Linked DNA regions of Canis lupus familiaris. The protein of the gene in region 1 binds, or shares a complex with, the protein of each later gene. Links are inferred from orthologs where the notes say so. Each region holds a gene or a part of one and is shown in the gene's direction. Other genes may lie near its edges.

Evidence for each region. The genes of interacting proteins can lie anywhere in the genome.
Region 2: the proteins of SCN7A (region 1) and SCN3B are in contact, whole or in part, in a cryo-EM structure (PDB 7TJ9), measured with the Homo sapiens proteins. The link is inferred for Canis lupus familiaris from reciprocal best matches to the Homo sapiens genes SCN7A and SCN3B. Residues at the interface, in NP_002967.2 of Homo sapiens: Arg269, Glu293, Tyr296, Leu298, Glu299, Leu305, Gln315, Cys316, Pro317, Glu318, Gly319, Tyr320, Asn922, Ile923, Thr926, Cys927, Lys929, Ile930, Phe939, Ile956, Tyr957, Asp959, Gln960, Ile966, Tyr970, Met973, Ile974, Tyr977, Ile978, Leu981; in NP_001035241.1 of Homo sapiens: Val25, Cys26, Val27, Glu28, Val29, Arg44, Ile46, Lys50, Arg51, Glu52, Glu53, Val54, Asn95, Gly96, Ser97, Asp99, Gln101, Asp102, Phe126, Phe128, Ala130, His131, Pro133, Val135, Thr154, Ser155, Ser158, Glu159, Met162, Leu165.

The regions. Positions count from the first base shown.
Region 1 is NC_049257.1:11,861,924-11,866,337, reverse strand, and holds the start of SCN7A (sodium channel protein type 7 subunit alpha), read left to right. Parts: upstream 1-1,596; 5' UTR 1,597-1,921; coding exon 1,922-1,931; intron 1,932-2,031; exon of another isoform or gene 2,032-2,161; intron 2,162-4,414. UniProt on the Homo sapiens protein: Sodium leak channel functioning as an osmosensor regulating sodium ion levels in various tissues and organs. While most sodium channels are voltage-gated, SCN7A is not and lets sodium flow through membrane along its concentration gradient.
Region 2 is NC_049226.1:10,827,837-10,831,484, forward strand, and holds part of SCN3B (sodium channel subunit beta-3), read left to right. Parts: intron 1-2,867; coding exon 2,868-3,006; intron 3,007-3,648. UniProt on the Homo sapiens protein: Regulatory subunit of multiple voltage-gated sodium (Nav) channels directly mediating the depolarization of excitable membranes.

The DNA.
Region 1 (4,414 bases):
CCAGTTCAGAAGATGAGTCCAACATCATTGTTTTCCCTTCTGTTTGTCTCTTATTTCTATTATTGGTTTGCATAGTGTCTTGGGATTAGTTGCCTCTTCACTACACATTACACAAAGAAGTTTATGTCAAGTATATTATTTAAGCTTTAAAATATTTAATATTAAATTTGTTAAATGTTCTTATGTTTTAATATACTGAAAGATGCATAGATTTTTCTGGGTGAAAAGGGATAGATAAGTTGGATTGCCCCAAAGGAGAGTTCTGTGCACTAGAACATTCACTTGTACTGCCATCACAAAGTGTGGGAAAGAAGAGATGATAATCCATACATTGTTTGTTAAAAAGATATCAAGTGGATGTTTGACACTATGAAGTAATTGTTAATTATTAGGTATGATAATGGTACTGGGTTGTATGGAGGGGGTTGTATTTTTAAAGTGCTTATGCAGAGACTTATGTTAATATAATTTTGGATAAAATATTATGTTGTCTGGACTACTTTTAAGCTAATCCAAGGTGTGAGGGCAAGCATAGATAAAACTAGATTGGCTATGTGTTGACAATAGTTGAGGCAGTGTGACTGAAGCAGAGTGATGAGTACATTGGAGTTTATTAAACCTTCTTTGTATTTTTGTATATGTTTGAAGTCTTTCATAACAAGTGTTAATTTAAACAAACAAAATACATGTAACAAGGCCTTTTCTGTGAATCATGGATGAAACATGCAGTATCTGACATGGTATGCAGAGAACCAGTGTGTGTTTAGTTCCACTTTACACTTCTTTCTCACACTTTGGAATATAAACTTAAAGCCTCTCATAAATATACATGGTTTCTTTTCCCTTTTCCTCATTTTTGTTATTTTTTCCTGGTGTGTTGTAGAAATAGTTTTTGTTTTTGTCTTTTTTTAAAGAAACATCACCATTTGCAAACAAGATAGAGTTATAAGTGAACATTCTATGATGTAACAGTTTCCAAACTCCCTTTGGGAAAGAAGGTCCAACATCTCTTCCCTTCACCCCCAAACTTCATTGCTGCACACCAGTTTTTCCAAATATGCATGATTTTTCCTCTTTGTACCTCAAATCACCAGAGTGGGAAAGAAATCTAGAATGAGGTTGTAGTAGCTCCAGCCCATTCCTTCCTTAACAGGCCACCCCCACACACACACATCCCTAAGTGATGTTCAGGTCTGAAAACTGCAGGCTGACAATTGCCCCCTGACAAGCTCTACTGGGGCAGCTATGCAAGAGGATAGAGAACGCGACTAGAGGTTAAGACATGAGTTTGCTGCCTTCCTCTCTTCCTCTCCCCCATCTCCCTCCTATTCCCAGCCTTCCAGAACCCTTAGCTGCATCCCCTTCCACTTCTCTCCATCTTTTCAAGCTCTCGAAGAACTCTCCGCTCCCTCTCCTCTGGCCTCCGCCCTCCTGGGGCAGCTGTGGAGGAGACGCGCTGCAGCTGCAGTTCAGGCCTAGGCAGGCTCCGTCTCCATCACCCCGCCCACGCCCGGTCTGGAAGGCGAAGTCGCGCACCGGCCTGGGGATGAGGGCGGGGGAGAGGGTGGCGTGGCTGGGGGATGGGAGGGAGGAGGGAGGACACAAAAACAGCATCAAGGCGGCAGGCGCGGCTCCACTGCGCGTCTGGCCAGGAGGGGTCTGCGGGTCAGTGGCTGGGCAGCCACCCCAAAGACCCGGTTTCTAGCTGGGAATTCAGTGGGGGCCCATTCACCGCCGAGCCGTCGTGGCCTGTAGCATCAGCTGGTGAGGGCAGACGCCAGCCTAGCAACACCTCCTAAGCAACCAGAACTCAGGAAGCCAGAGAGATCCGGGAAGAAAAAGAAGCCCAGGAGGAGAAAAGGGCTCCAGGGAGTTGTGCTTCTCAGGGTTCCTTCCCCAGGTGCTGTTGGAGACCTGTCACATGGTCGCAAGTAAGTGCCTCTTCTTGCTGTGTGCCCAGCCCCAGGATGGTGATAGCCGCCATCTGCTGCCAGCCTTTCCCACCCACCCCCAGCCTGCCCCACCCCATACACACCCTTAGGGTCTTTAGCAGTAGATTTAAGATTCTGGACCTGAATTAAGAGAGCTACTTCGAAAGCAGCGTTGGTCTGCAGATGTTTACTATGTGCTGTGTCTGTGGTCAGTTTTCTCATCCCACCAGGTAAGCTTCTGAAGCCAAGAGGCTCTGTTAGTGAAAAATTTCTAGAAATCCTATATGGCAACGACTTCTAGTTACATGACACAATGATAGAAGAGAGAGAATAAAAGCTTACACAGCAAGATGGAATATACTTTGAAGGAATCTTGTCTCTTAAGTAACTTAGTAATTTTAAGATCGATGCTTTTCATATGTGAATCAACAGTATAAAATTAGAGGCATAGATTAAAAAAATAAAAACAAAAAAATCAGAGGCATAGATGTGATGGGAAATGGTGTGCAGTTTAAACGGCTGGGCATTTTGGTATTGTTTGGATCAACAGGTTTGTTTTTATTGTTATCTTGGTTAGCCTGTGAACTGCATATGTTCTGGAAGTTATCTTCTAGAAGTGATGATGTGTTCATTGTGACTCTGGTTATATGTTGACTACAATACTTAGGATATTGGTCAAAGTAGGACAAGTGATAAAAAATATGTAGAATGACACACTGATATGCTCCCTTTATTAATGGAAATGATGGACTCAAATTTGGATATTGGTCAGAAAATTCTCTTGTAATGAGTATGGGTAGTATTTTTGTGGATACTTTTATTCCTGGCTATTGTTTAGGAGAGTAGTTTATAGCAAAATAGAAGGAATCTCGGCCCTATAATAAACAGAGTCCTGTGCATAATACCTGCTATTTTCCAGCCCTAATTAAAGTTTCTACAACCCAGCCACTAATTTTACAAGTGAAGAAGATAAGGCCTGTAGGTAATTTGTTGAGGTTACTAGGCTAATCAATAATGAGCTGAAAATCCAATGAAGACATTGAGATTTAGAATGATAAAAATAAATTTTCATTTTTTAGAAATGAAATTAATTATTTCATGTTAGATTAAGCTTTATTCTTCTAATTTGTAAGTGACACATCAAAAACTTACATATCCTGGTGAGGACTGAATAACAGATTACATGAAGGATGTTGTGAATATATCACGTGTAACTGTTGCTTGTATAAGGAATTGTTTTGTGTTTTTATCCACTTTACTATTCTCATTTTATGTCTATATAAAAATGAAAGGGGCTTCGACAACCTCACTACAATGCACTAAAGGAAAAAATATTCAAATCCAGGTTCTGATCTCTTGCCACCTGTATAGTTTAAAGAATATTCTAGCCTGTGAGATTGCATCCTCATGTGCCATGGTTAACACATGTAAATAATTTTAAATATTCTCAAAATATGCCCTATCCTCTTCCTCTTTTTAGCTCTAAATTTTATTTTTGGTATGTGGTCTTACTTCCTTGGGATGCAAGTATATTAGATATTGGTGAATTTATTTGGCTCATTAATTAATTAATATAGGAGAAATAAAAGTTTAGGTATACAATATTCTACTCTTAACTTCTGGGATTTATTATAATCCTGGACTCAGAAGAGGTACTGTGAGCGCCTTCTTTCCCCCTTGATGTGTTTGAAAACCATAGGAGAAAAACCTGAAATTAGATGTAGGCTCCAGAAAAGAGATCTAGAGACCCCAGATGACATATGCAGGTCCCAGGACCTGCTGCTGCCTATCATCCTCCACTAAAGAGCAGAAGGTAGAGCCAAACACCTAAGAACTGGGCATTCTGTCTCACAGCCTCCTGTGGGAGAGGCTCTGGTAGGGCAGTTGATATACACTCCCATGAATTTTGCCCCAGTAGGATGAATACAGCTTTAAAGCACTCTGGGAATGAAACAGCAGTATTTACTCAACACCTTATTTAGGGAAGGAGTAGCCTGATAGACCTCAGCCCTAGGTTCTCATTATGGTAGGATCTGTACCACAACAGGGGTGCCCAGAAACTGACTAACAACCCTAAACCTAGCATCGTAGATTCTCTTGAAAGCTTATGGTGGAAGCATTAGTGTAAAAGCGATGTTCTTGATTTCTGGGACTCTGGTCCTACTATTTTCACTAACCAGTATCAGTTTTATCAGTTGTGAGAGGGTATGTATAAGTCCCTCCCATTACTAGCTATTAGCAATGTAGTCACTCACCGTCATATGAACTTGTACAGATCTCATTTCTCCCTGAGTTGGCCCCTTTCTCTTCTATTAGGGTGAGCTGATCAAGGCCAGGCAAGGAAGTCATCCCTTCTGCAATGCTGAAGGAAGAAAACTTTAAGGCTGAAGAGAGAATTTCATCCAAGGGCTTCTAGGGATGTTTTTCACCTGGTGTGTATGTATCTCTTGGCCCAACTGAGATCATGATTTCCATATATTTGT
Region 2 (3,648 bases), on another chromosome or scaffold:
TAGAATTCATGAAGCACACTTGAGAGCAGATGGCAGGGCAAGAGATGTCATGATTTGGTCCTGATGAGGACAACAGGACTAAAACGAGTAGGTCAATTCTGAACGAGCAGAAGCACCCTTGGACCACTGGCATTTAGGCCTGATGAGCTGTCTTCCCCCTCTGAGCACATCTCCTCTTGTGTACCTGGAATGGGTTGGACTGGAAGCTCTCTAAGGTATTTTTCTGTTCAGAAGTTCCATTATCCTCTCTGTTTACACACCTCTTCTCCCCGGGGAAGAGAAGCCGGCGCCCTCTACTGCTCACCACCGGGAACTTGGCTGTGCCCGCCGGACCCTGGGAAGGTGCCTGTCTCACCCGCTGCTCTCTCAGGCTTTTGCCTCCAGTGGAAAGGGTGGCGAAGCTGAACCAGGCCGCCTGCTGGGCACCAGAGCAAGGCTTGGGCCAGAATAGGAGGAAAACAAGTCTGTCATCAGAACCACAGAGCCTCTCGGGATGGTAGGGCTGGAGGGAAGCTTGGCTCTCATTTCATCCAGGTGTTCTGAACAAAGAGCAGGAGTCAGAATCGCCCAGGGGGCTTTCCTTCAGTGTAGACATCTCTGCACTCCTGTGGGTATGTGTGATTTTGGCAGTTGGAGTGAGGTCTGGCTTATGTCATAGAAATGACTCCCCAGGTGATTGCTTGGAGGGTGCGGCTCTGGTGCCTCTCATTTTGTGGTGGGGAGATCAGTGAGGGGCTTGCCTAGGGACATGAAGCAAATTAGCACCAGGTGCAGGACTACAAGCCAGATTTTTCGCCCACCAGGCTACCTCTCTGTCCATTGACTCTTTTTCCTTCTACTACCATCCCACTCCTTGCTACTCTTTTTTTCTTCTCCTTCGTTTCATGACTTTTTTCCTTCCTTCCTTCCTTCCTTCCTTCCTTCCTTCCTTCCTTCCTTCCTTCCTTTTCCTTTTCCTTTTCCTTTTCCTTTTCCTTTTCCTTTGTGACCCCATGGCAGCCTGAGAACACCGCCACCCACATTCACTGCTCTCATGAGGCTCAGAGCCACACGCTCCACCTTGACACACCCCACTACATTTCCTCCATTCCTATGTTCTCCCAGAATCTCTCTGGTTCTCTTTGTTCAAGATGAACTTATCCTGCCCTAAGCTCTGACCTCCTGGCTCTAAGACAAAAATCTGAGATCTCTTCACCTAGAAGTGACTAAAAATACTGAGCATGGATGGCTTCTTCCTGTGTTACTACTTCCAGGCTATTGCATTTAAAAAGCATGTTCCTTGAGATGAATGCATCACAAATCAGGTAATGTCGAGCCCACAAAAAGGCATTTGATGTGCATGGTGTTCTTCTGTGCCTCAAGCTCCATCTATGACCTCTAGCCTCAGGAGGTCCAGCATCCAGGAAACGTGGGTGATCCTGGAGTCTTTGGACTGCTTCTCAGAGCTGAGGGTCATGGTAGGAGCTATTCTGTGCTTTTAATGAGCGAGGCCTTATGGATGACCGGGGCCTATGAATAACCGAGGAGCATGAATCTAATTCACTGGTAGGAGTTAGCAACAGAATATGTGGCTGCAATCTTCTTTCCCATGAGAAAGGAAGATGTATCAGGACAATTTGCCATATATCATATTTTAATTGTCATTTGGGTTGGCCGTGAAACAAAGATCGATATTTATTTATATTCATTCATTCAACAAATACTTATTGAGTACTTCAGACACGCCGGGATGAAACGACAGGTGGATAATTCAGAAATATGTAAAATGTGTTCTTAATAAGCAAACACTCACTAGAGAAGAGAGAGAAACACATCACAATAACAACGGACGGATGAGAAAAAGTGCTCAGAGGAGAGGCTGAGGCAGGTTTCACAGAGCGGGGGACTTTGGTGGCACTGGGAAGAATGGTCAGGGGATGGAAAAGCAGGAGAGGATATGGGGACAGAGGTAGCAGAGGGAGTCCAGTCACAGAAGGGGAAATGAGGAAGGGGAAAGAGGGTGAAGAAAAGTCCACAGATCCCCAAAGACCACAGTGTATATGAGAAGTGACGTTTTGCTGGTGCATCAAGCAGAAATGAGGAGAAAAGAGCCGGACTGTGAATGGTCCCACATGCCCTGTTAACAGAGTTTGGTCTTTCTCCTGAGGGCAGCATGGAACATGGAGGGTTTTAAGCATGAAAATGGCAGGATCAGGTTTGTATTTCAGAAAGTCTGCTTAATACATGGAATGCTCCAGTTCTCATTTCTGTTTGGTTTTGGGATGACCTAGCAGAAAAGTGGGCTGGGAAGGACCCTGTTTCCCATCCAGACGTGGAGAGAGCACGCCCAGACCACGGGCAGGCTGACCGTACTGGCCCCACACATGTGTCCCACCCTCTCTCCCTCTGCCACCCTAAGCTCAGAGGACACAGGTGGTTGGACGGGATACGCTCCCCACATCTGTGTGGACCTTCACATCTCACAAGATATTCTTGAACACGCCAGGTAATGCAATGGTGTGAACGGTTTTACCCTTGCCTTACATTTTAGGCAAATGGTCTCAAATAAGGGCAATGATGATTCACACAAAATAGGGACGCAGCTCTTATATCTCAGGCCGTTCCAAGATTGCTTCCACTGCTCTATTATTTCTTCCACTCCTCATTCCTCCTCAACCCCCACCCCAGAAGAAAGTTGGTGAGAAAGCTGACAGACAGGAGCATCAGAGGATATTAAATCACTCTGAAGCCTTCTTGAGTTCCTTAGAACCAGTACTTACTTAAGCCATTAAGCCATTCTTAAAAATAGGTCTCATATATCTCTGACCCAGTGACAGCTCTGGGTTTGTTGGACATGCACATTCTAAGCCTCATTGTCCCCCTTGCAGCTGGAGAGGACTTCACCTCTGTGGTCTCAGAGATCATGATGTACATCCTGCTGGTCTTCCTCACCTTGTGGCTGCTCATTGAGATGATATATTGCTACAGGAAGGTCTCAAAGGCTGAAGAGGCGGCCCAAGAAAATGCGTAAGTTCTAAGATGCCAACATAATGCTAGCTGGCCCCTTCGAGTGCTTGCTGTCACGGGTGAGGTGCTAAGCAATTGACACAGTCCTCCACTCTCCTCACCATGATCTTCAAGGGAGGCTGAATTAATATACCCACAGATGAGAAAACTGAGCTCGGGAGAGTTTGCCCAAGGCCATTGTAAGAGGCAAAGCAAGGTTTTGATTTGTGTCTGCTAACTCCTAACCGGTACTGTTAACCTCTGATGTAAAAGCCCATAAGCTAAAAACAAAACAAAACAAAACAAAAAGCCATAAGCTGCCATCACAATCCTATGAAGTTAGCATTATTATGACCATCTTATAGATGCTAACACAGGCCTATGGAGGTTAAGTGGCTTGCTGAGGCCACAGATACTGAGAGGAGAGGCTGGGATTTAGGCCCATCTATTCCAAACATTCATGTTTTTGTGTCACTCTCAGCCATTTGTTGTACACTGTGGAACTCACCAGGCCACCTGGGTACTGCCTTTTATTAGCTACGGAGCTCCGAGCCCACATGTTCTTCATCCTGGACCTTGGCAGCAATCGAATACCCATGTAGGGGCTCTCATTCCCCAATGTCCAGAGTGTGCCTTTGCCATTTTCGCCAAAGCCGTGGTCAC